Saccharomyces cerevisiae S288C: one gene and its partners. The protein of the gene in region 1 interacts with the protein of each later gene in a biochemical or structural test. Each region holds a gene or a part of one and is shown in the gene's direction. Other genes may lie near its edges.

Region 1 (8,386 bases):
ATGGTATCTCAGAGGCAAGATCTTTTCATGACAGATCCACTATCTCCTGGATCCATGTTCTTTCTTCCAAATGGTGCTAAGATTTTCAACAAATTGATAGAGTTTATGAAGTTACAACAAAAGTTCAAATTTGGTTTTAATGAAGTTGTGACGCCTTTGATTTACAAAAAGACTCTTTGGGAAAAGTCTGGTCACTGGGAAAATTATGCTGATGACATGTTTAAGGTGGAAACTACGGATGAAGAAAAGGAGGAATACGGTTTAAAACCGATGAATTGCCCAGGCCATTGTCTGATCTTCGGTAAAAAGGATAGATCGTATAACGAACTTCCCCTACGCTTCTCTGATTTTTCACCACTACATAGAAATGAAGCTTCTGGTGCACTGTCGGGATTGACTAGACTAAGGAAGTTCCATCAAGACGATGGTCATATCTTTTGCACTCCTTCCCAAGTGAAATCAGAAATTTTCAACTCTTTAAAATTAATCGACATAGTTTACAACAAAATTTTCCCCTTTGTTAAAGGAGGTTCTGGAGCAGAGAGCAATTATTTTATAAACTTTTCTACAAGACCGGATCACTTCATTGGAGACCTCAAAGTTTGGAATCATGCTGAGCAAGTACTCAAGGAAATCTTGGAAGAATCAGGCAAACCGTGGAAACTGAACCCTGGTGATGGTGCGTTCTATGGTCCAAAGTTGGATATAATGGTTACGGACCATTTACGCAAAACTCATCAAGTCGCTACTATTCAGTTGGACTTTCAGCTACCTGAGAGGTTCGATTTGAAATTCAAGGATCAAGACAACTCGTACAAGAGGCCAATTATGATTCATAGAGCTACTTTTGGTTCTATCGAAAGATTTATGGCTTTACTGATAGATTCTAATGAGGGCCGTTGGCCGTTTTGGTTGAATCCTTACCAAGCTGTAATTATTCCCGTCAATACGAAAAATGTGCAACAGCTAGACATGTGCACTGCCTTGCAGAAAAAACTACGTAATGAACTGGAAGCCGACGACATGGAACCAGTTCCTTTAAATGATTGGCATTTCAATGTTGATCTCGACATAAGAAACGAACCCGTAGGGTATAGGATCAAGTCGGCCATTTTGAAAAACTATTCCTATTTAATTATCGTGGGTGATGAGGAAGTACAGTTACAGAAATACAACATTCGAGAACGTGATAATAGAAAGAGTTTCGAGAAACTTACAATGTCTCAAATTTGGGAAAAATTTATTGAGCTGGAAAAAAACTACAAGTAACTTAAAATATATGACAAACTTGCCCTGTAAATAAAAGGATACGATTTGATGTATAGCTGGATTCATACAGAGACTAGACTCATCCGCCCCACAGATGCATTAATTCATGTATATTTCACATATTATACCATATGTAGTCATTAAACTAAGATAATATTACTGTATTTACATGTATCATCCTTTATACTTTTATACTTTTTACGTTCGGGAGATTTTCAGGAGATTTTAAGGTTTGGATTCCTCATTCAATGGTTCTTTTTTCACATCTGATTGCTCTGCTTTTTTCGCAGCATTTTCCTTTGCGCTTGAAACATTTGGCGCTGATTCTATTGTGTTGACCTTTACTTTGTCTTGAGGTTCCTCATCATCAGATGTTTCCTTTAGTTGTTCTGCATAATGCTCGGGGTATTTTCTGAAACAGTCTTGCATATGTTGAAACTTTTCAACACAGTCGATACCTTTTGGTTCAGCTTCAGAATAGACGAAGCAAGAAAATGCAGATTTGAACTCTTCACCACAGGGTCCATGGGCCATACCTCCCAAGCAAGGACAGTCCCAATTTATCTCACCAGTGTCTGGGTTATAAGCACCTTCGTGTTGAACCTCTTCTTCAGTAGGACCCATTTGCTTTTCCTCTTGTTTTCTTAGTTCTTCTTTCTCTTCATCGCTAGATTCAGATTGCTTAGCTGAATTTTCCGAGTCACTTACAGTTTTTTTTGAGGATTCTTCTTCTCCATTATTATCTTCAGTAGTTGTCTTGTCATCAGATTGTCCCTGTTGCGATTTTTCATCATCTGAATGTTCTGGATCTTTTTTTTCAGAAGATCCAGCATTGTTGTCTAGTGTTTTGTCACTAGTATTTTCTTCCGAGTTCTCAGAACTTATGTTTTCATCCTTTTGATTGTTAGCGGTGGCATTGTCTTCATTGGATTGCTCATCATCTTTGGTTGATACCTTTGATTCATCAGTATCTTTATCTTCGGAAGACTTGTTGTCTTCTTCTGCTAGAACAACCAATTCACCATCTTCAGCTACTTTTGAAGCACCAATTTTATCACCCCCTAATTGAGGGCCAGCTTCAGTTTCATCGTTTTTGCTGTCGTTGTCATCTCCATTTTCATCGCTTTTGCTGTTGTTGTCATCTTCATTTTCTGGTGATTGCTCACCACCACTGGAAAGCTCTTCCTCTGCGGTTTTATCGGATTCTACCTTCCTTGAGGCGAAAAGAGGCTTCCTATTAGGAGCAATAAAATATAAAGCACCAGCCATAGAAAGAATCCCCATTATAAAGCCCGCTGTTTTTTCCTGATTGGAGTTCCTACCGAACTGAGGGGAGGACGCCATGAGACGTCTTGTTTGGTGTCGGCATAACCCCCTTGCCACTTGAATTGACGGCCTGTTTCTGCACGCATTCCTGACGACTAAGTTGCGAAGCATTTTACTGATAATATACACTCTTTGGATCGAGCCTACTTCCAGTTGGTAATTGGTGTTCCACAATTTCAGCATTATATGTTTTTAAACCAAAATTCGGCTCCTTTTCCCTTTTTTTCTTATTGGGTGGCGTGCCGTACAGAACGATTGGCTTGGTGTGAAATCAAGAGCAAGCACAATAGATATCAACATGAACAATATACAAAAGTCTCTGGCACAGTTTGACTGCGTTAGACCAGGCTAGGGCATTTCTGAAGCTTTACGTATCACTAGAGAAGTTATTTTGGCAATGAGAATCTACTACATCGGTGTATTTCGCTCTGGAGGAGAAAAGGCTCTAGAGTTGAGTGAAGTTAAAGACTTGTCACAATTTGGTTTCTTTGAAAGGTCTAGTGTTGGCCAGTTTATGACTTTTTTTGCTGAAACGGTCGCTTCTAGAACTGGTGCAGGACAAAGACAAAGTATAGAAGAAGGCAACTATATTGGCCACGTTTATGCCAGGAGTGAGGGCATATGTGGTGTTTTGATCACCGACAAAGAATATCCTGTCAGACCAGCATACACACTATTAAACAAAATATTGGATGAATATTTAGTCGCACATCCTAAGGAAGAGTGGGCAGATGTGACTGAGACCAATGATGCATTGAAAATGAAGCAACTGGACACTTACATTAGCAAATATCAAGATCCTTCACAGGCTGACGCTATCATGAAAGTTCAACAAGAACTGGATGAGACGAAAATCGTTTTGCACAAAACGATTGAGAATGTTTTACAAAGAGGTGAAAAGTTGGATAATTTGGTGGACAAATCGGAGTCATTAACGGCAAGTTCCAAAATGTTTTATAAGCAAGCTAAAAAATCCAATTCGTGTTGCATCATCATGTAGATGCATCCACACACTATTTTCAGCATAGTGTGGCTTTTCATCTGCTTTATGTAATTTAGAAAGCCAATGACAGCAGCAAGGGAAACAAAAATCTTTTAAATCAAATTAATTGTTTAAATAATATACTATGTAAGCATCGATTCTCCTAACTATTATAACCAAAGGTTGATTTGAAGCCATTGGCATTGTATTAGAATTGATTTGTTTCTTCAGTGTAAAAAAGTTAAAAATAAGCGACCCCAGTGAGGGTTGAACTCACGATCTTGCGATTAACAGTCGCACGCCTTAACCAACTTGGCCATGGAGTCTAATTGCTATATTTTTCTTTTGAAAACAAGATATATAAATAATGCTTGAGCTGGAGCATTTACGTTGTAAATGTATAATTAGTGTAAGAAACCGCTGGGCCCTATTTGTTGATGAAGTATTTACTTAAATGTAACAGAATATACTGGAAGTCCCCCCTCGGGCACATGGAAATTCACTAAAAGGAATTGGTAATGCATATGATATTACTACCGTTTCTCATTTCACTTTATATGCTTTCAGTGATTGTGTTACTACGTGACAGTTCTTACAATTCAGCGCCGTTACTCTCTATGAGTGCTCTCATTATTTATATCATATTCTTACACTTCATACAATTATATATACTCGTACCATGGATATTAGAGGATAGTTGGTTTTTGTTTAAACTAATTCTATGTAACCTCGATGGCATGAGTCCATAATACTGTACTGGCGTATGCCCTTGTTTGTGGTCTTTGTGCAACCATTTCAGGCTTTCTTATTTGCACAGGGCAGTTGCGACCCTGATAAAAAAAAATGGCTGATCAATCGGCGTGGACAAAAAAAAACATCGATTTCTATATTCATGGTAATCTGTCGAATTCTCCAACCAAGTTAGCTGGACTTTATTGTCTTATATCCGATTACTATCGCGATTTATTCTTGTGCGTAGCCGCAATTATAAAGGTCCGGAATATCTCTCCGACTATTGTCATCGTCGAATTTCTTCTGGAAGGGACGGCAGTAACAAGAAACACCTGAGGAACTGCTCTTTCAAATGACGACGACCAAGAGGTTGAAGTTTGAGAATCTGAGAATCCAATTCTCCAATGCCATAGTAGGAAACTTTTTAAGGTTACCGCATTCAATTATAAACGTGTTAGAGTCAACCAACTACGCTATCCAGGAATTCGGTATAGCAGTCCATTCTCATAATTCAGATATACCTATTGTTCATCTTGGATGGGATGGCCATGATTCTGGATCGAGTGAGAATGTTGTTCTTATCAATCCTGTTTTGGCCACAGTATATGATTTAAATCAAAAGTCTCCATTGGTGGACTTATACATCCAGCGATATGACCACACACACCTGGCTACGGAGGTGTATGTCACGCCAGAAACGAGTGATGATTGGGAAATTATCGATGCCAATGCGATGAGGTTCCAAAATGGTGAGATTTTGCACCAAACCCGTATAGTTACCCCAGGTGAGACTTTGATTTGTTATTTGGAAGGAATTGTTACAAAGTTCAAAATTGACAGGGTGGAGCCATCAATGAAGTCTGCGAGGATCACAGATGGTTCCTTGGTTGTTGTGGCACCAAAAGTCAATAAAACACGTTTGGTGAAGGCTGAGTATGGTCATAGTAATAAGACAATACTAAAAAATGGGGCTATCCAACTTTTAAAGAAGGTAATATTGAGGAGTACTGTGTGCAAAATGGACTTCCCTAAAGATAACCTTTTTGTCGTATATATCAGTGACGGGGCACAATTGCCTTCTCAGAAGGGCTACGCTTCTATCGTAAAATGTAGCTTAAGGCAGTCCAAGAAAAGCGATTCAGATAATAAATCAGTTGGTATCCCTTCGAAGAAGATTGGGGTTTTTATAAAATGTGATAGTCAGATACCCGAAAATCACATTGCATTAAGCTCTCATCTTTGGGATGCATTCTTTACGCACCCAATGAACGGAGCAAAAATCAAACTAGAGTTTCTACAAATGAATCAAGCAAATATAATATCCGGAAGAAATGCAACAGTCAATATCAAATATTTTGGCAAGGACGTTCCTACCAAGAGTGGGGATCAGTATTCTAAGTTGTTGGGCGGGAGCTTATTGACCAATAACTTAATACTTCCAACAGAGCAAATTATAATCGAAATAAAAAAAGGTGAATCCGAGCAGCAGTTGTGTAATTTGAATGAAATTTCCAATGAATCCGTTCAATGGAAAGTAACCCAAATGGGTAAAGAAGAAGTTAAAGATATTATCGAAAGGCATTTGCCTAAACATTACCACGTCAAAGAAACTGGCGAAGTTTCGCGCACTAGTAAAGATGAAGATGATTTCATTACGGTAAATAGTATCAAGAAAGAAATGGTCAATTATTTGACATCGCCTATTATTGCCACACCAGCTATTATATTAGATGGTAAGCAAGGGATCGGTAAAACAAGGTTATTAAAAGAGCTTATAAATGAAGTGGAAAAAGATCATCACATCTTCGTTAAATATGCGGATTGTGAAACATTGCACGAGACATCAAATTTAGATAAAACCCAAAAATTAATTATGGAATGGTGTTCTTTTTGTTATTGGTATGGTCCTTCTTTGATTGTGTTGGATAACGTTGAGGCTCTATTTGGAAAACCTCAAGCCAATGACGGAGATCCTTCTAATAATGGCCAATGGGATAATGCAAGCAAACTTTTGAATTTTTTCATCAATCAGGTGACAAAGATATTTAACAAGGATAATAAACGAATCAGAGTTTTATTTTCAGGCAAGCAGAAAACTCAAATTAATCCGCTATTGTTTGATAAGCATTTTGTTTCAGAGACGTGGTCTTTGAGAGCACCTGACAAACATGCAAGAGCGAAGTTACTGGAGTATTTTTTCTCGAAAAACCAGATCATGAAACTAAATCGAGATTTGCAATTCAGTGATTTGTCGTTGGAGACAGAAGGATTTTCGCCACTAGATTTGGAAATATTCACAGAAAAGATTTTCTACGACTTGCAGTTGGAAAGAGATTGTGATAATGTTGTAACAAGGGAACTTTTTTCGAAGTCGCTTAGTGCGTTTACACCATCTGCGTTGCGTGGAGTAAAGCTAACAAAAGAAACGAACATCAAATGGGGGGATATTGGTGCTTTAGCAAATGCCAAAGATGTCCTTCTAGAAACCTTAGAGTGGCCCACAAAATATGAGCCTATTTTCGTTAATTGTCCCCTAAGATTGAGATCAGGAATCTTGCTTTACGGTTATCCTGGTTGTGGTAAAACGCTTCTGGCGAGCGCCGTGGCACAACAATGTGGGTTAAACTTTATCTCCGTTAAGGGACCAGAGATTTTAAACAAGTTTATAGGTGCCAGCGAACAAAACATAAGAGAATTGTTTGAAAGGGCACAGTCCGTCAAACCCTGTATTCTATTTTTTGACGAGTTCGATTCTATTGCGCCAAAGAGAGGGCATGACTCCACTGGTGTCACAGACCGTGTAGTCAATCAATTATTGACCCAAATGGATGGTGCCGAGGGCCTTGATGGTGTATATATACTAGCAGCTACAAGTAGACCTGATTTGATTGATAGCGCATTGTTAAGACCGGGAAGATTAGACAAAAGTGTGATCTGTAATATACCGACTGAATCAGAGAGGTTAGATATCTTGCAAGCTATCGTCAATTCAAAAGACAAGGATACGGGACAAAAAAAATTTGCATTGGAGAAAAATGCAGACTTGAAGTTGATCGCTGAAAAGACAGCTGGTTTTTCGGGTGCTGATTTACAGGGGCTCTGCTACAATGCTTATTTGAAATCTGTACATAGGTGGCTGTCTGCTGCAGACCAATCGGAAGTGGTACCCGGCAATGATAATATAGAATACTTCAGTATCAATGAGCACGGGCGTAGAGAAGAAAATAGACTACGGCTAAAGACTCTATTGCAGCAAGATGTGGTGCACGAGACAAAGACAAGCACTTCAGCTGCTTCTGAGCTGACAGCTGTGGTCACAATAAACGATTTATTGGAAGCCTGTCAAGAGACAAAACCTAGTATTTCAACAAGTGAGTTGGTCAAATTAAGGGGGATTTACGATAGGTTCCAGAAGGATAGGAACGGTGAGATGCCCAATGGTGAGAATTCCATCGACATTGGTAGCCGACTCTCCCTTATGTGAAAAGGAAGAAGAAAAGAACAAAGCGCGTTTCCCTTTAAAGGGCAAAAAATGCGGCGCACGTTGCTTATTACGTGACATGACCCTATTGTATTGTGCGAGCACGCAGGACGGGAAAAATATTGGTGAAATTACATAACGCATTTTTTTTCCCTTGTGGTGAAAAGGAAAAACCCGAGAAATATGCCAGTAACAGTGGAGACCGGTCAAGATGTATTGAACGAAATCCGAAGTTGCATATATAACATAAATGCCTGCTACCTTTTGATACTTAATTCTTCTTAGCACCTATACGCTTTTTTTTTCATTTTTCCTTATCTTTTCTTTTTCTCGCAGAAGTCTATACAAAGAAGAAATATATATATATCTATTTCTTTTTTTTTTCAACCGTATACCACCGGCAACAAACCTCCATGTATTCATAGGCCCTGCATTACATCAAGAAATATTAGCATAAACGTATAGACCATTTTAACGCCACAGGCAAGCATACGCATTAAATCGCACCACCAACCAATGACAGTCTCACACAATCATTCTACGAAGATATCCCAACAACCAATCTCCTCGGTATCAGCATTTAAGTTCTTCGGAAA
Region 2 (3,130 bases), on another chromosome or scaffold:
TTTTTCAAGGACTCGAATAGAAATTCAATATAGGATAAGTCACTTACAAGCTCAAAATCTCTTTTCAAGATATCACCCAATGTTTCATATTGCAGCTGTCTCTGCAGAATGGCTGTATTGAAAGCTGGGGTCTGAGGCCCCAATTGTAACTTCGGCCAACCTTCGGCATGAAGATTATTTCTAATCAAGGAAACAATACAAGTGGAAAAGTCTGTTGATGAAGGTGATGAAGAAGCAGGATTTAAATTTTTGTAATTTAATTTTGCTACGTGTCGAATAAAAGAAAGAGTCAAAGATCTAAGTTTATACTCAGATGAATGCAATCCAATAGAGCAAATCAACGAAATACATTCTGCTTTGGTGGTGGCGAAGTGACTTCTGTTTAATATGGACAGGATTTTTTCTTGCAAGATAGCCTTGACCGGCGGTCTTCCATTTGCTGTGTTGCCGATGTACAGCGTCTGAAGAAAGGTGATGAACTCTTCGTTTTCATAAGGCATGGGAAACCGTTTCATGAACTGAGCCGCATCATCAGATAAATTTGTAGAATCCGTAGAGACAACGCACAAAAATTCCATCAGTTCAATCATCCTAGGTGACTGCTCAATAGTTTGGGTAGCCGCCATGCCACGGCAAACAAATTGAAAAATAGCCTTTTTGAACTTATTCAGCTGTTCTTTGTTGAAAGTAACGCCCGCATCATAAGTAAAGAATGCCACATCAGTTAGAGATAGGCCCGGACATGTGTAACCTCTCGACAGGGGCTGTTGAGAAACCTGGACTTGCTTTGAAGGTACCAGCAGAAAAAACCTGGTAAATTGGCGCATCAAAAACGAAAAACCGTCGTTGTCCAGTTGAAGGAACTGAACAAATTCTTCCTGCTCATGTGAAGACTCCTGGGGTGCAACCCATTCCAAAATAAGCTTCAAAAGGATGTGGAACATTCTGGCGGCTACTGTGCCTGTTAGACACGAGATGTTCGAAACGACTAACGGTAGCAACTGCTGTCTATCTTGCAAGGAAAGCCTATCTATGCCTTTAGACGCCAGTAGCAGACTGTAAAGGCGGACATTGGTCGAGTCTTGTTGAGCGGCTAAATTGGGTTCCTTTGCTTGGACAATAAGCGCCCTCACAGGAAGCTGAACCTGGGGCAGCGTATTTATCCTAGAAATGAGGTTTTTTAAGGCTGAAAATACTGCTGTTCTAACGGAGGCATGTGGAGAGGCGAGTTTTAGTAATAATGGAGGCAAAAAAGTCTGCAGATTAGTTTCGAACTTTTGAGGGGAATCTGCGATAGCCAGGCGCAATTCTGCCTTCTCCACGAGCTGTTTTTCTTTCGCTTCGTCAGAAGAAATGGACATAATGTTGTTCGTGGTGAAATAGAAACTTTTCTATAATTATTGTATTATCCAATCCTGCACAAAGACAAAGAGATCAGTTATCGAGAGCTTACCAGCTTCTTTATATCAGGAAGTACCTTTTTTTTGCCACCAAGAAAAGGCATATGGATATACCGGGTAACACATAAATACCAAAACTCTGGCGGCTAAACTGGTAAAACCTGATATATACAAAGATCAAATAAGTATAAAAGCTTTCAAAGATGCTTATGAAAAATCTCACGAGATTGGTAGTTACTGATCAGGCACAAACTCCGCAGCCAAAACAATATTTTGAAAATATGTGAGCATTCAGCAAGAGACCTTCAACTGCTCCGAATGTGCATTTCACAGCAATGCAACAAAAGTCAATGACACTTGCAAACCCAGTGTAAGACGCCTACTCTTGTTCAATCAGTTAGTTATCTTTGTTCAATAGTGTGGTTGGTAACCAAATTTTCTAGGCGTTGTTGAAAATAAAGAGAACGAAAAACAAAAAAAAAGAGATAAAAAGACAAGGAAAAAATAAACTAACTAGACACAGGGAAAAGCCCAATTCCAGACAAGCAACCACACCACATGAGCTCACAACCGTCTTTCGTCACCATAAGGGGCAAGGCCATTTCTCTAGAAACACAAACGGAGTCACTTCTTTCCAAGTACTCCACATTCGCGCAGACAACTAGTTCAGAACAAACTGGCCAAGAAAAGAAGATAGACAAGCAGTTGGAGGGAATCTTAGGCCAGAGACAGGATGTAATCGATTCATTAACACAAATCTGCGATTCTAACCCGGCAATCTCCGCCTCAAAGCTTTCCCAACTGCACCGCCACAAGGAGATCTTACAAGACCACTGGAAGAGCTTCCGCAATATCAGGTCCTCCATCCAGCAAGAGCGCAACAGACTAAACTTGTTATTCAGCGTGAAGAACGATATTGCTAATTCCACAACGGACGCGCCAGCTCCTATAGGGGATGCTGACGAGTACATTCAGAACGAAACAAGGCGAATCGATCAGTCCAACAACGTAGTCGACCGTCTCATCTCCCAAGCCTGGGAGACTCGGTCGCAGTTCCACTCGCAGAGCAACGTGCTGAACACGGCAAACAACAAGGTGTTGCAAACTTTACAAAGAATACCAGGTGTCAATCAGCTTATTATGAAGATTAACACGAGAAGGAAGAAAAACGCGTTTGTATTGGCCACGATAACCACCCTTTGTATACTGTTTTTGTTTTTCACATGGTAAATAACGACTTTTATTAAACAACGTATGTAAAAACATAACAAGAATCTACCCATACAGGCCATTTCGTAATTCTTCTCTTCTAATTGGAGTAAAACCATCAATTAAAGGGTGTGGAGTAGCATAGTGAGGGGCTGACTGCATTGACAAAAAAATTGAAAAAAAAAAAAGGAAAAGGAAAGGAAAAAAAGACAGCCAAGACTTTTAGAACGGATAAGGTGTAATAAAATGTGGGGGGATGCCTGTTCTCGAACCATATAAAATATACCATGTGGTTTGAGTTGTGGCCGGAACTATACAAATAGTTATATGTTTCCCTCTCTCTTCCGACTTGTAGTATTCTCCAAACGTTACATATTCCGATCAAGCCAGCGCCTTTACACTAGTTTAAAACAAGAACAGAGCCGTATGTCCAAAATAATGGAAGATTTACGAAGTGACTACGTCCCGCTTATCGCCAGTATTGATGTAGGAACGACCTCATCCAGATGCATTCTGTTCAA
Region 3 (8,379 bases), on another chromosome or scaffold:
TGTCTCTTGAACATACTCCATAATTTGTTCACCTTCCATCTCATATATTACATATAAGGCCACACACAGACACAAGCTGAAACGAAAATATCTATAAATATACACTTCTTAATTTGTATTCAAGATATTCTTATCAAAGCACTTATTTTTTCATTATATTTCTATATTGATTTAAGGACGGTACGCTATTTTCTTTGTACCTTTTACTATGCATAAAAAAAGGGGAAGTGTTTAACAATCGACACTTACTTAATATGTTTTGCCGCCCTTCATAAGAGGGTGTTTCTAAAATTTATTGGGCAAGAATGAGATGGACTCGCACCCTACATGACGTTTAAATATTTAGTGTTAAGGTTCAGAACATGCACCAGGTGCGACATGTGTTGCGATTATCATGACAATGTCTCTATCCGAGATGCATTTGTAGTATCAATTGATGCGTATTATGACATGATTTACATAGCATACATCGTCAAACATGATATTATATTCTTTTTTTGATAAATGTACGGATTTAAAGCTGTCGAATATATTTTCTGAAATTTCTTGGAGCTGACGCAAAATTTTCAAAGGTGCTAAAATTTTTCAAGATTTCTCACTTTTGCTTGGTAACAAAGAATGATGGCATTGCATTTTTACCACCGGTACATTTAACTGCTATTTCTCACGTTTCTTTCCCTATCCTTAAGTAATTCTTTTACAATCTAAGAAAACCACGATCAAACAAATAAATCAGCAATGGGTGCCTACAAATATTTGGAAGAATTGCAAAGAAAGAAGCAATCTGATGTTTTGAGATTCTTGCAAAGAGTCAGAGTCTGGGAATACAGACAAAAGAATGTCATTCACAGAGCCGCTAGACCAACTAGACCAGACAAGGCTAGAAGATTGGGTTACAAAGCTAAGCAAGGTTTCGTTATCTACCGTGTCAGAGTTAGACGTGGTAACAGAAAGAGACCTGTTCCAAAGGGTGCTACTTACGGTAAGCCAACTAACCAAGGTGTCAATGAATTGAAATACCAAAGATCCTTGAGAGCTACCGCTGAAGAAAGAGTTGGTCGTCGTGCCGCTAACTTGAGAGTCTTGAACTCCTACTGGGTTAACCAAGATTCTACTTACAAGTACTTCGAAGTTATCTTGGTCGACCCTCAACACAAGGCTATCAGAAGAGATGCTCGTTACAACTGGATCTGTGACCCAGTTCACAAGCACCGTGAAGCTAGAGGTTTGACTGCCACTGGTAAGAAATCCAGAGGTATCAACAAGGGTCACAAATTCAACAACACCAAGGCTGGTAGAAGAAAGACCTGGAAGAGACAAAACACTTTGTCCTTGTGGAGATACAGAAAATAAGCTGGTTGATGGAAAATATAATTTTATTGGGCAAACTTTTGTTTATCTGATGTGTTTTATACTATTATCTTTTTAATTAATGATTCTATATACAAACCTGTATATTTTTTCTTTAACCAATTTTTTTTTTTATAGACCTAGAGCTGTACTTTTATTCTGCTATCAAGCAAACCCCTACCCCCTCTTCTCAATCCTCCCCTCAGGCAGAACTTATCTACCTGTATCAAGGAGCGGACGAGGGAGTCCTAATTGTTCTACGTATACCAATGCTAGCAGCTTACATAGGTGGTGGCACTACCATAATACTTATATATAATATCTTTACGCTCAAGTAAATTTCTCCGCCGCATAAATTAACACCATGTTCTTTTTAGTCGCACCTTATTTTCTTGTATTTTTTTTCTTTCCTTTTCTTCCCGTTTTTCCTTATTAGAGCCATTAGATAAAACTCAAGAAAAGCAAAAGAGAGGGCTATTTCCACTTTAAGAATAAGCCTTAATAATTGGCAAATAGATCGTCCTTTTTTCCAGTTTTCAGCATTTGTGTTTTTTTCTTGCTCTTTTTAGCGATTAGATAACATTCAAGATCTAATCAATACCCCATTCCAAACAAAGAATCCAAATATACCATAAATAGGGACAAAAAACAAAAGAGCTAAAAATGGGCAAATATACCAAGACTGCGATCTTGTCAGTTTATGATAAGACAGGTTTATTAGACTTAGCCAAGGGATTGGTAGAGAACAATGTTCGTATCCTAGCATCCGGTGGTACGGCCAACATGGTCAGAGAAGCTGGTTTTCCGGTCGACGATGTTTCTTCAATTACGCATGCACCAGAAATGCTAGGGGGTAGAGTCAAGACTCTTCACCCTGCTGTGCATGCAGGTATTCTTGCCAGAAATTTAGAGGGCGATGAAAAAGATTTAAAAGAGCAGCACATTGATAAGGTGGATTTTGTTGTATGTAATCTATATCCGTTCAAAGAAACTGTGGCTAAAATTGGTGTTACAGTTCAAGAAGCTGTAGAGGAGATCGACATTGGCGGTGTGACTTTGTTGAGAGCAGCCGCAAAGAACCATTCCAGAGTGACTATTCTTTCAGACCCTAATGACTATTCTATCTTTCTGCAAGACCTGTCTAAGGACGGTGAAATTTCTCAGGATTTAAGAAATAGATTTGCACTTAAGGCGTTTGAACATACGGCCGATTATGATGCGGCCATTTCTGACTTTTTCAGGAAACAGTACTCCGAAGGGAAAGCCCAATTACCGCTAAGATATGGTTGTAATCCCCACCAAAGACCTGCACAAGCTTATATCACTCAGCAGGAGGAGTTGCCCTTCAAAGTGCTCTGCGGTACACCAGGATATATAAATCTTTTGGATGCCTTGAACTCATGGCCCTTAGTGAAAGAGTTATCTGCATCATTGAACTTGCCTGCGGCAGCATCGTTCAAGCACGTTTCTCCAGCAGGTGCTGCTGTGGGACTTCCATTATCCGATGTGGAAAGACAAGTTTATTTTGTGAATGATATGGAGGATTTATCACCATTGGCATGCGCATACGCTAGGGCCCGTGGTGCAGATAGGATGTCATCCTTTGGTGATTTCATTGCATTGTCCAATATTGTAGATGTCGCCACTGCAAAAATCATCTCTAAAGAAGTTTCCGATGGTGTTATTGCTCCAGGGTATGAACCAGAGGCATTGAATATACTATCTAAGAAGAAAAACGGAAAATACTGTATTTTACAAATCGATCCAAACTATGTTCCTGGCCAAATGGAATCCCGAGAGGTTTTTGGCGTAACGTTACAACAAAAGAGAAACGATGCGATCATAAACCAATCCACTTTCAAAGAAATTGTCTCCAAAAACAAAGCACTTACCGAGCAAGCCGTTATCGATCTAACTGTTGCTACGCTGGTTTTAAAATACACACAATCAAATTCTGTTTGCTACGCAAAGAATGGTATGGTTGTGGGGCTTGGGGCCGGCCAACAATCGCGTATACACTGTACCAGATTAGCTGGTGACAAGACGGACAACTGGTGGTTGAGACAACATCCAAAGGTTTTGAACATGAAGTGGGCCAAGGGAATTAAGAGAGCGGACAAGTCGAATGCGATTGATCTTTTTGTTACAGGGCAAAGAATAGAAGGCCCGGAAAAGGTGGATTACGAAAGCAAATTTGAAGAAGTCCCTGAACCTTTCACCAAAGAAGAAAGACTAGAATGGTTAAGCAAATTAAACAATGTATCGTTATCATCCGATGCGTTCTTTCCCTTCCCAGACAACGTTTATAGAGCTGTGCAGTCTGGTGTAAAGTTCATCACGGCTCCTTCGGGGTCTGTCATGGACAAAGTTGTCTTCCAAGCGGCGGATTCATTTGATATCGTCTACGTGGAGAACCCAATTCGTTTATTCCACCACTAAGTAGGGTACATTTTATGAGAAGAACAGAAACAACATATATAGCTGAATACAAGTGTATATACGTAAACGTATACGATTTACTTAATTTTCTACGTCAAAGGCCTTCCTCTTCTGCGAGAGGACAAGATGTGAATATGTGAATTATAGAGATGTCTGCAGTATGGTTTTACCCAAATGATCATGGACCAACTAGGGTCATTTCATAGTGTTTAGGAATATACTGCGGTAGGACGAACAACAAAGATGACCGAACTCAGATTTTCCCACTCTGCACCCACATCCCGCAATCTCTTCGTAATAAGGAGAAAGCTGGCCATAGGACAAAGTATAGGAAAAGAGCTCAAGATCATGCGTCCTACTTAATCTAAGTTAAACTCGTCAACGGGGCCACTTCTGTCTCATCCATATATATCATGGCAACAGCCCCCGAACCCCATATACACATCGTTAAGGCAACAGCACCCGATGCAACGACTAAGAGAAACTGCTCGTAGTCTGACGACTCAAAACTCTGATCACGAAGATCAGAGGAGAAGTCAGGAGCTGCATCTCTTATGTGATGCCGTTGTCCGAAGCGCCATCTAGATGAATACGTGAGGCCCATTGGAGGCTCCTTGAGACTCTGCCTCTCGAGCGTTGAAAAACGCTAGCCCAGTGTTTTAGAGAAGCTAAGCAGCAATAGCAAGAAATGCACACACACGTATGCGAGTGACTTCCCTTCCCTGTATAGTACCGAACTAGCACGAGACTATGGTTACTTTTTTTTTTACAAATAAGCAAAGAGAAACTTGAATGGGAAAAGAAGTTTACCATAGAAGTTAAATGCACGACGATGAGAGTTTCAAAGTGTTTATATAGGCGAGAGAATCTAAAGGAAAATTTTTCTTGAAATAAAAAAGCACTGTCAGGGTAACAATGTTAATAATAGCCGCTGATGGTTTAGGGTTACTACGCTAGAAGGACATAAAATCATTATTTACAAGAAACATACAAGGAGGCAATTTTTTAAACTCTCAATGTAGGATATTTCATTTAACTGCACTAGTGGCATCTATTATACACAATTACTCCAGTAGCTGCCACAAAGCACCCAAAGATAAGAATAATTACGGAAAATGAAATTTTTACTTTGAATATGATGATATGGGCATTGCAGGTTTGTAGTAAGAGCAATTTACAGGAATTCCTGACGGAATATTAATGTTTTCTTACTGTTTAATGCGATGTACATATTGTCAATACTAATGGTCACCACTGGAAATGGCTATCTTTCGTCTTCGTGAATAACGATCGCCGAGAGTCGGACCGAGTGAGTCAGCGTGATCGGCCTCATTTACCTTGTCGCCTTGCACGTCGGTATATAAACGTATGTGGATACTTTAAGAAGGGAAAGCGCAACCGTCCAAATTCTAATGAACAAAAGAACACAGGAATACAAGAACACAAGAGCGATAATGTCTGCCACTCTGTTCAATAACATCGAATTGCTGCCCCCTGATGCCCTTTTTGGTATTAAGCAAAGGTACGGGCAAGATCAACGTGCTACCAAGGTCGACTTGGGTATCGGGGCCTACAGAGACGACAACGGTAAACCATGGGTCTTGCCAAGTGTTAAAGCCGCCGAAAAGCTAATTCATAACGACAGCTCCTACAACCATGAATACCTCGGTATTACCGGTCTGCCAAGTTTGACATCTAACGCCGCCAAGATCATCTTCGGTACGCAATCCGATGCCTTTCAGGAAGACAGAGTAATCTCAGTACAATCACTGTCTGGTACGGGTGCTCTTCATATATCTGCGAAGTTTTTTTCAAAATTCTTCCCAGATAAACTGGTCTATTTGTCTAAGCCTACTTGGGCCAACCACATGGCCATTTTTGAGAATCAAGGCTTGAAAACGGCGACTTACCCTTACTGGGCCAACGAAACTAAGTCTTTGGACCTAAACGGCTTTCTAAATGCTATTCAAAAAGCTCCAGAGGGCTCCATTTTCGTTCTGCACTCTTGCGCCCATAACCCAACTGGTCTGGACCCTACTAGTGAACAATGGGTTCAAATCGTTGATGCTATCGCCTCAAAGAACCACATCGCCTTATTTGACACCGCCTACCAAGGGTTTGCCACTGGAGATTTGGACAAGGATGCCTATGCTGTGCGTCTAGGTGTGGAGAAGCTTTCAACGGTCTCTCCCGTCTTTGTCTGTCAGTCCTTTGCCAAGAACGCCGGTATGTACGGTGAGCGTGTAGGTTGTTTCCATCTAGCACTTACAAAACAAGCTCAAAACAAAACTATAAAGCCTGCTGTTACATCTCAATTGGCCAAAATCATTCGTAGTGAAGTGTCCAACCCACCCGCCTACGGCGCTAAGATTGTCGCTAAACTGTTGGAAACGCCAGAATTAACGGAACAGTGGCACAAGGATATGGTTACCATGTCCTCCAGAATTACGAAAATGAGGCACGCATTAAGAGACCATTTAGTCAAGTTGGGCACTCCTGGCAACTGGGATCATATAGTAAATCAATGCGGGATGTTCTCCTTTACAGGATTGACTCCTCAAATGGTTAAACGACTTGAAGAAACCCACGCAGTTTACTTGGTTGCCTCAGGTAGAGCTTCTATTGCTGGATTGAATCAAGGAAACGTGGAATACGTGGCTAAAGCCATTGATGAAGTGGTGCGCTTCTATACTATTGAAGCTAAATTGTAATGATTAAATAATACTTATACTTACCTATTACACTCTTCATATTTTTTTTAATGTAAAGAAAGTAAAAAAAAAAAAAAATAAAAAAAAGAGAAATGCTCTTTCTTTACCTTCACAGGTGTATTATTATGTTGTTGTAATATCCGGGTAGGTTTATTGATCGAGGCGAGGCGAAAGGGCATATTCGAAACAATCATTATGATAATAATGTCAATATAGAAATTGAAAAAAAAAAAAAAATCCTACCGCCGCATCGACGCTCCTGTTAGACCTTTGAACGGAAATCACCCACTCTTTACTGTATATATTTTATTCCACCTCTGTTTCCAACGACCATTTCACCATACCACACAACTCCCATGAACATAAAGGATAGAACTTCAGAATTTCAACAAAGTGTGTTGAGTTACAAGAAAAGAAACAAAAACTTTAGAGAACAGCAGAGGGAACGTCTACAAGAGAAAGAAAGTGAAAACTTTGCCAACAACACAACCGGCAATGGGAAAAGTGTCTCTGAGTTTCAAAAAAAGGCTTCTGGCATAGCTCACGAAATTTCATCCACCGCACAATTATTATCGAAATTAGCAGTGCTGGCCAAAAGGAAACCGATGTTCAATGACAACCCTGTAGAGATTGCCGAGCTATCATTTTTGATCAAAAGGAAGATTTATGCCATCGAACAAAGTTTAGTGCAATTAAGTCAGCTCAAGAAAACCGACGTGAATGGCAACACATCAAATCAATCTTCTAAGCAACCTAGTGCCGTACAGCACTCCAAAAATGTCGTAAATCTTTTAAACACGCAAATGAAAAACATATCAGGAAGTTTTAAAGACGTATTGGAGGAAAGGCAACGACTAGAAATGGCTAACAAAGACAGATGGCAAAAACTAACCACCGACACTGGACATGCACCAGCTGATGACCAAACGCAAAGCAATCACGCCGCGGACTTGACCACGTATAACAACTCCAACCCATTCATGACCTCACTACTAGATGAATCCTCAGAAAAGAATAACAACTCGTCCAACCAAGGAGAACTGTCTTTCCCTCAAAACGACTCTCAACTAATGTTAATGGAAGAGGGACAGTTATCCAATAACGTCTACTTACAAGAAAGAAATAGGGCGGTGGAGACAATAGAATCCACAATCCAGGAAGTGGGAAATCTCTTCCAACAACTGGCCTCCATGGTTCAAGAACAGGGCGAAGTAATCCAAAGGATTGATGCAAACGTAGACGACATCGATTTAAACATTAGTGGTGCTCAAAGGGAACTTTTGAAATACTTCGACAGGATAAAGAGTAATAGATGGTTAGCCGCAAAGGTTTTTTTTATAATCTTTGTATTTTTCGTTATTTGGGTTTTAGTCAATTAAAAGCAAAGTAAAAGAAAAAAAGATACATATTTGATTATTTATTTTTTTTCCTTCTCTCATCTTTTCTGTACAATAATATAGCAATAACAGATAAAAATAATGAATGCACATTCCCTTCTATACCTATGAACGCAAAAAAAAAAGACAACAAAAAAATAAAAACTATTAATTATGACTTAGCATTATGAACTTCATGTATATAAAAGAGCGTATACAGAACATGGAAAGTAAGAACACCTTTTTTTTTTCTTTCATCTAAACCGCATAGAACACGTTCAAAGCCCCATTTCTGCTTGTAGTTCTCTTAATGCTTTTTCATCTTCATCTTCTTCATCCTCTTCCTCTTCCCCGTCCTTCACAGAGTTCTCACTTTGTTTAATTTTATTACTTGGAACACTAGGTAGTGAGACTTTGTTCTCTGAGATAGGCGCCGCATTAACATTATTATTAACGATCTTGGACGTTTCTTGGTTAGCATTTTCTTGAGCCAGCATGTCCAA
Region 4 (5,594 bases), on another chromosome or scaffold:
ATTATCAAAATGATGAATTGGTTATTCCAGATGCAAAGAAAGATTCATGGAACAAGATTTCTTCAAGAAATGAGCAAAGCACACACCAATCTCAGCCGCAACAAGATGCTCAAGATGATCTGGTTTTGGAAGATGATGAACATGAATACGATGTCGATGATATCGATGATCCCAAATACCTACCAATAACTCAGTCTTTGAATATTACACATTTAATTCACTCTGCAACTAACTCTCCATCCATAAATGATAAAACGAAAGGTACAGTTATAAATGATAAGGATCAGGTACTAGCTAAATTAGGCCAGATGATCATCAGCCAGTCAAGATCCAACTCAACATCCTTGCCAGCTGCAAATAAACAAACAACCATCAGATCAAAGAACACTAAGCAGAACATTCCTATGGCTACACCAGTACAACTACTAGAAATGGAGAGCATCACGTCCGAATTTTTCAGTATTAACTCGGCAGGGCTACTAGAAAATTTTGCTGTAAACGCATCGTTCTTCTTAAAGCAGAAACTAGGTGGCCGTGCACGTTTACGTTTACAAAATTCTAATCCGGAACCTTTAGTAGTAATACTAGCCTCAGATTCCAACAGATCTGGTGCGAAAGCTCTGGCGTTGGGTAGACATCTTTGCCAAACGGGGCATATCCGTGTCATAACATTATTTACATGTTCTCAAAATGAACTACAGGATTCCATGGTCAAAAAGCAAACAGATATTTACAAGAAGTGTGGCGGAAAAATTGTTAATAGTGTATCGTCGCTGGAATCTGCTATGGAAACATTAAATAGCCCTGTAGAAATAGTCATCGATGCCATGCAGGGATATGACTGTACATTGAGCGATCTGGCGGGGACGTCGGAAGTTATTGAAAGCAGAATTAAAAGCATGATATCATGGTGTAACAAACAGCGAGGATCTACTAAAGTGTGGTCTTTGGATATTCCAAATGGGTTTGATGCGGGATCCGGCATGCCAGATATTTTCTTTTCAGACAGGATTGAAGCAACAGGAATTATTTGTTCTGGCTGGCCTTTGATTGCCATCAACAACTTAATTGCAAATTTGCCAAGTCTAGAAGATGCTGTTTTGATTGATATAGGTATACCACAGGGCGCCTATTCACAGAGAACTTCTTTGCGTAAGTTCCAAAACTGTGATCTTTTCGTCACTGACGGGTCCCTGCTATTAGATTTGTAAACCAAGAATTACTTTAGCCTAAACTGGATACATACGTATAAGCATACGGTAAGGAAGTGGGATCTGTAGCGGTAATGCAATAATGTGTTGGCTCTCACAAATATGAAAACTGCGAACATCTATATAATAAGGTAACGGTATAACAGAAAAATCTGAATAATTTCTCTTTCCCGGGTAATGAGCCCTTAAGGAGGACTCAAAACGAAAAGGAAAAAAATACGAGTGGAAAGAAAAAATGAACCCTTTCCAGTAATTGATAATAATACAATCATTCATTATTAGAAATATATTAGTTCTCAATTCAAGGCAGAATAGTGCTGTCATTGTGATCAAATTTTTGTGTGAGTCTGCTTTGCTTTCTGTTTTTTTTTGTTGACTCGCTGTTCAATCTCCTACTTTTCCTTTTGTTGTTAAAATAAGGTATTATATATTTATACAACCCTATAAAAAGCAATTAGCCAATTTCCAATCCTACGAAGACAGGAACTGAGCAAACTATAAGGGTGTTCTTTCTTCTGTACTATATATACATTTGCAACTATGGGTTCATGTTGTAGTTGCTTGAAAGATTCTTCAGACGAGGCCAGTGTCTCACCAATTGCCGATAATGAAAGAGAAGCGGTGACTTTATTACTAGGGTATTTGGAGGATAAAGACCAATTAGACTTTTACTCTGGTGGTCCACTAAAGGCCCTAACTACTTTGGTGTATTCAGATAATCTAAATTTGCAAAGGAGCGCCGCTCTGGCATTCGCAGAAATTACTGAAAAATACGTCCGTCAGGTCTCTAGAGAGGTACTGGAACCCATCTTAATATTATTACAAAGCCAAGATCCACAGATTCAAGTGGCCGCTTGTGCAGCCTTGGGTAATTTGGCCGTTAATAATGAAAATAAATTATTAATTGTGGAAATGGGAGGCTTAGAGCCATTAATAAACCAAATGATGGGTGACAATGTAGAAGTTCAATGTAATGCTGTTGGATGCATTACCAATTTAGCCACAAGGGATGACAATAAACATAAGATTGCTACTTCTGGTGCTTTAATTCCATTGACTAAGCTAGCTAAATCCAAACATATAAGAGTTCAGAGAAATGCTACAGGTGCATTATTAAATATGACACATTCTGAGGAAAATAGAAAAGAATTGGTTAATGCAGGTGCTGTGCCTGTATTGGTATCTTTACTGTCGTCCACCGATCCTGATGTTCAGTACTATTGTACTACTGCTTTATCAAATATAGCAGTGGATGAAGCCAATCGCAAGAAGTTGGCTCAAACTGAGCCAAGATTGGTTTCCAAATTGGTTAGTCTGATGGATTCTCCATCTTCAAGGGTAAAATGTCAAGCTACTTTGGCTTTACGAAACCTAGCGTCCGATACAAGCTACCAATTAGAAATTGTAAGGGCTGGTGGGTTGCCTCATTTGGTAAAGTTGATTCAAAGTGATTCTATACCACTGGTTTTGGCTAGTGTGGCATGCATTAGAAACATTTCTATTCACCCTCTAAATGAAGGTTTAATTGTTGATGCAGGTTTCTTAAAACCATTAGTAAGATTGTTGGACTATAAGGATTCAGAAGAAATTCAATGTCACGCCGTATCTACTTTGAGAAATTTGGCTGCATCATCTGAAAAAAACAGAAAAGAGTTCTTCGAAAGTGGTGCTGTCGAAAAATGTAAGGAACTGGCTCTAGATTCACCTGTTAGTGTTCAAAGTGAAATTTCCGCATGTTTTGCTATTTTAGCCCTAGCAGATGTCTCCAAATTGGATCTACTGGAAGCAAATATCTTAGATGCTTTAATCCCTATGACTTTTTCCCAGAACCAAGAAGTTTCTGGTAATGCTGCTGCTGCTTTGGCAAATCTATGTTCAAGAGTGAATAATTATACAAAAATTATTGAAGCATGGGATCGTCCGAATGAAGGCATTCGTGGATTTCTGATTAGATTTTTGAAAAGTGACTATGCTACCTTTGAACACATTGCGCTATGGACAATTTTACAATTGCTAGAAAGTCATAATGATAAAGTGGAAGATTTGGTTAAAAATGATGACGACATCATTAACGGAGTGAGAAAAATGGCAGATGTGACCTTTGAGCGTTTACAAAGATCAGGAATTGATGTTAAAAATCCGGGGAGCAACAACAATCCAAGCTCGAATGATAACAACAGTAATAACAATGACACAGGATCTGAACATCAACCTGTAGAGGATGCAAGTTTGGAATTGTATAATATTACTCAACAGATTTTACAATTTTTACATTGATTTTCTTCAAAAGCGGGACTAGGCATTATAATTTTTATCAAAATTTTCTTCTCAGAAGTTTTATTTTCTTTCTCTCCATTTCTTCCATCTTTTTAATCTTTGTTTCCTTTTTTTACATCATATTACTTCTACCTACTCTACTCTATTCTAATTTCAATTGATTTTTTTTATTTTATTTTTTTTTTTGTTAATAAAAGAAGAAAAAACTTAAAAACGAATAAGAGGCTGTCTTTGTTCCGTAGTATATGCCTATTTCCTTCTAGAAGTTTGAAGTGTCGTAAATTTTACCTACGGATAATGTTCGTTACATTGTTGAATGGCAACTGTAGTGAGGTAATGTTCAAAAAGTGAGAAAGCGGGAGAGAAGGGCTACATACAAAAACCAATTCTAGATAACATCTATATCTTCGTTTTTAGAATATATTGTAATAAAACACAATTGATAATACAGTTCTCTCTTCGTCCTCTGATGGTGGGAGATCTATTAAAAATACAAGTTAGCTGAGCGGGGGAAAAAAATAGGTCTTACCCGGATTCGAACCGGGGTTGTTCGGATCAAAACCGAAAGTGATAACCACTACACTATAAAACCTCTTAATTATTGATTTCCACAATAATTTTATCATATATCAACACTATTCTTCACATAGTTTTTTTAATCCCGGTGTCTCTCATCTGCTAATGAAAATACGTTCACTCATATTTCATGCACCTTCCAGTAGACTGACCCTTCATAAGGTTAAGAATATCATGGGGAAATTATCGCAATGCATGTCTCTTAAAGAATACAAGAATATATAAAGGCGAATCAACGATTCTTCACGATAATTTGTTTTCCTCTTAATCACACAGCAGTCTGAATTCTATCAGTGGCACATTAATCCTTGTTTCAATGCTCGTGTGCACATCTGCGTAAATATACATTCTTACGTTTTCTTATTTAATAATAGTAGGTTGAGCTTCGTCCACCGGGTAATGCTCCCGGAGCAGTGGAATTAAAAAAAAAAAGGGTGAGCACCGGAAACAGCTATCTGCGCTTAAGTATCACTAACGTAAAGCATAGGTAGGATTTCCAGTTCTGCCACATTTGATAAATAGTGTAATCCGTAATTATCAAGCGAGATAGTTTTCGAATATAATTTAGAAGTAAGAGCAAAATATTAATAGTATTTCATAAGGAATATTGGAAGAAAGGAGCGTAATACGAAAGATGAGGTATGTTTGATAAGATATATACGTATATTTATATATCACTCTTCTGAGAAAGTATGCCATAGAATGAGGATCACTAACAAAGAAAATGTCAATGAACTTCAAAGATATCGTTTAATGAAACAGTAGCTCTAAAAGAAGGATCGAGACAGATGTTATGAAACTGTTGATGAGTGATCATCAAGTGGATTTAATCAATGATAGCATGCAAGAGTTTCATGTAAAGTTCTTGGGACCAAAGGATACACCCTACGAAAATGGGGTTTGGAGGTTACATGTAGAGTTGCCGGATAATTACCCATACAAGTCGCCAAGCATAGGGTTCGTTAACAAGATATTCCATCCTAACATTGATATCGCATCGGGGTCCATATGTTTGGACGTAATTAACTCTACATGGTCGCCTTTATATGATCTGATAAATATAGTGGAGTGGATGATACCAGGTTTATTAAAGGAGCCTAATGGTAGCGATCCCTTGAATAACGAAGCTGCCACATTGCAATTACGAGATAAAAAACTGTATGAGGAAAAAATCAAAGAGTATATAGACAAGTATGCTACAAAGGAAAAGTACCAACAAATGTTTGGCGGAGATAATGATAGCGATGACAGTGATAGCGGCGGTGATTTACAAGAAGAGGACAGTGATTCTGATGAAGATATGGATGGCACTGGTGTTTCCAGTGGCGATGATAGCGTAGATGAGTTAAGCGAGGATCTAAGTGACATAGATGTCAGTGATGACGATGACTACGACGAAGTCGCAAATCAATAATTTCGAGCACACACATATATATATATATATATATATGTATGTATGTATAAGTATATATGATGGCATACTATACCACACGTACGACTATAATTACAAACAACTATCAAGCAACTACA

What was found.
Region 2: the proteins of YKT6 (region 1) and GOS1 form a complex in vitro, tested with the Saccharomyces cerevisiae proteins (2 studies listed by BioGRID).
Region 3: the proteins of YKT6 (region 1) and SED5 form a complex in vitro, tested with the Saccharomyces cerevisiae proteins (3 studies listed by BioGRID).
Region 4: the proteins of YKT6 (region 1) and VAC8 form a complex in vitro, tested with the Saccharomyces cerevisiae proteins (2 studies listed by BioGRID).

What each region holds. Positions count from the first base shown.
Region 1 is NC_001143.9:70,141-78,526, reverse strand, and holds YKT6 (palmitoyltransferase YKT6), read left to right. Parts: upstream 1-2,992; coding exon 2,993-3,595; downstream 3,596-8,386. Other genes in the region: threonine--tRNA ligase MST1, read left to right, coding at 1-1,269; MIA40 (Mia40p), read right to left, coding at 1,495-2,706; PEX1 (AAA family ATPase peroxin 1), read left to right, coding at 4,662-7,793; putative serine/threonine protein kinase PTK1, read left to right, coding at 8,307-8,386.
Region 2 is NC_001140.6:38,315-41,444, reverse strand, and holds GOS1 (Gos1p), read left to right. Parts: upstream 1-1,958; coding exon 1,959-2,630; downstream 2,631-3,130. Other genes in the region: ECM29 (Ecm29p), read right to left, coding at 1-1,361; GUT1 (glycerol kinase), read left to right, coding at 2,937-3,130. UniProt on the Saccharomyces cerevisiae protein: Involved in transport from the ER to the Golgi apparatus as well as in intra-Golgi transport. It belongs to a super-family of proteins called t-SNAREs or soluble NSF (N-ethylmaleimide-sensitive factor) attachment protein receptor.
Region 3 is NC_001144.5:194,950-203,328, reverse strand, and holds SED5 (t-SNARE syntaxin), read left to right. Parts: upstream 1-6,856; coding exon 6,857-7,879; downstream 7,880-8,379. Other genes in the region: YLR030W (uncharacterized protein), read right to left, coding at 1-39; 60S ribosomal protein eL15 RPL15A, read left to right, coding at 739-1,353; bifunctional phosphoribosylaminoimidazolecarboxamide formyltransferase/IMP cyclohydrolase ADE16, read left to right, coding at 2,014-3,789; aspartate transaminase AAT2, read left to right, coding at 5,244-6,500; ESCRT-III subunit protein SNF7, read right to left, coding at 8,155-8,379. UniProt on the Saccharomyces cerevisiae protein: Required for vesicular transport between the endoplasmic reticulum and the Golgi complex. Acts as a target organelle soluble NSF attachment protein receptor (t-SNARE).
Region 4 is NC_001137.3:127,074-132,667, forward strand, and holds VAC8 (protein anchor VAC8), read left to right. Parts: upstream 1-1,751; coding exon 1,752-3,488; downstream 3,489-5,594. Other genes in the region: EDC3 (Edc3p), read left to right, coding at 1-1,211; YEL014C (uncharacterized protein), read right to left, coding at 1,230-1,535; E2 ubiquitin-conjugating protein UBC8, read left to right, coding at 4,699-4,703, 4,827-5,478. UniProt on the Saccharomyces cerevisiae protein: Functions in both vacuole inheritance and protein targeting from the cytoplasm to vacuole (cvt). Involved in the formation of nucleus-vacuole junctions (NVJs) during piecemeal microautophagy of the nucleus (PMN).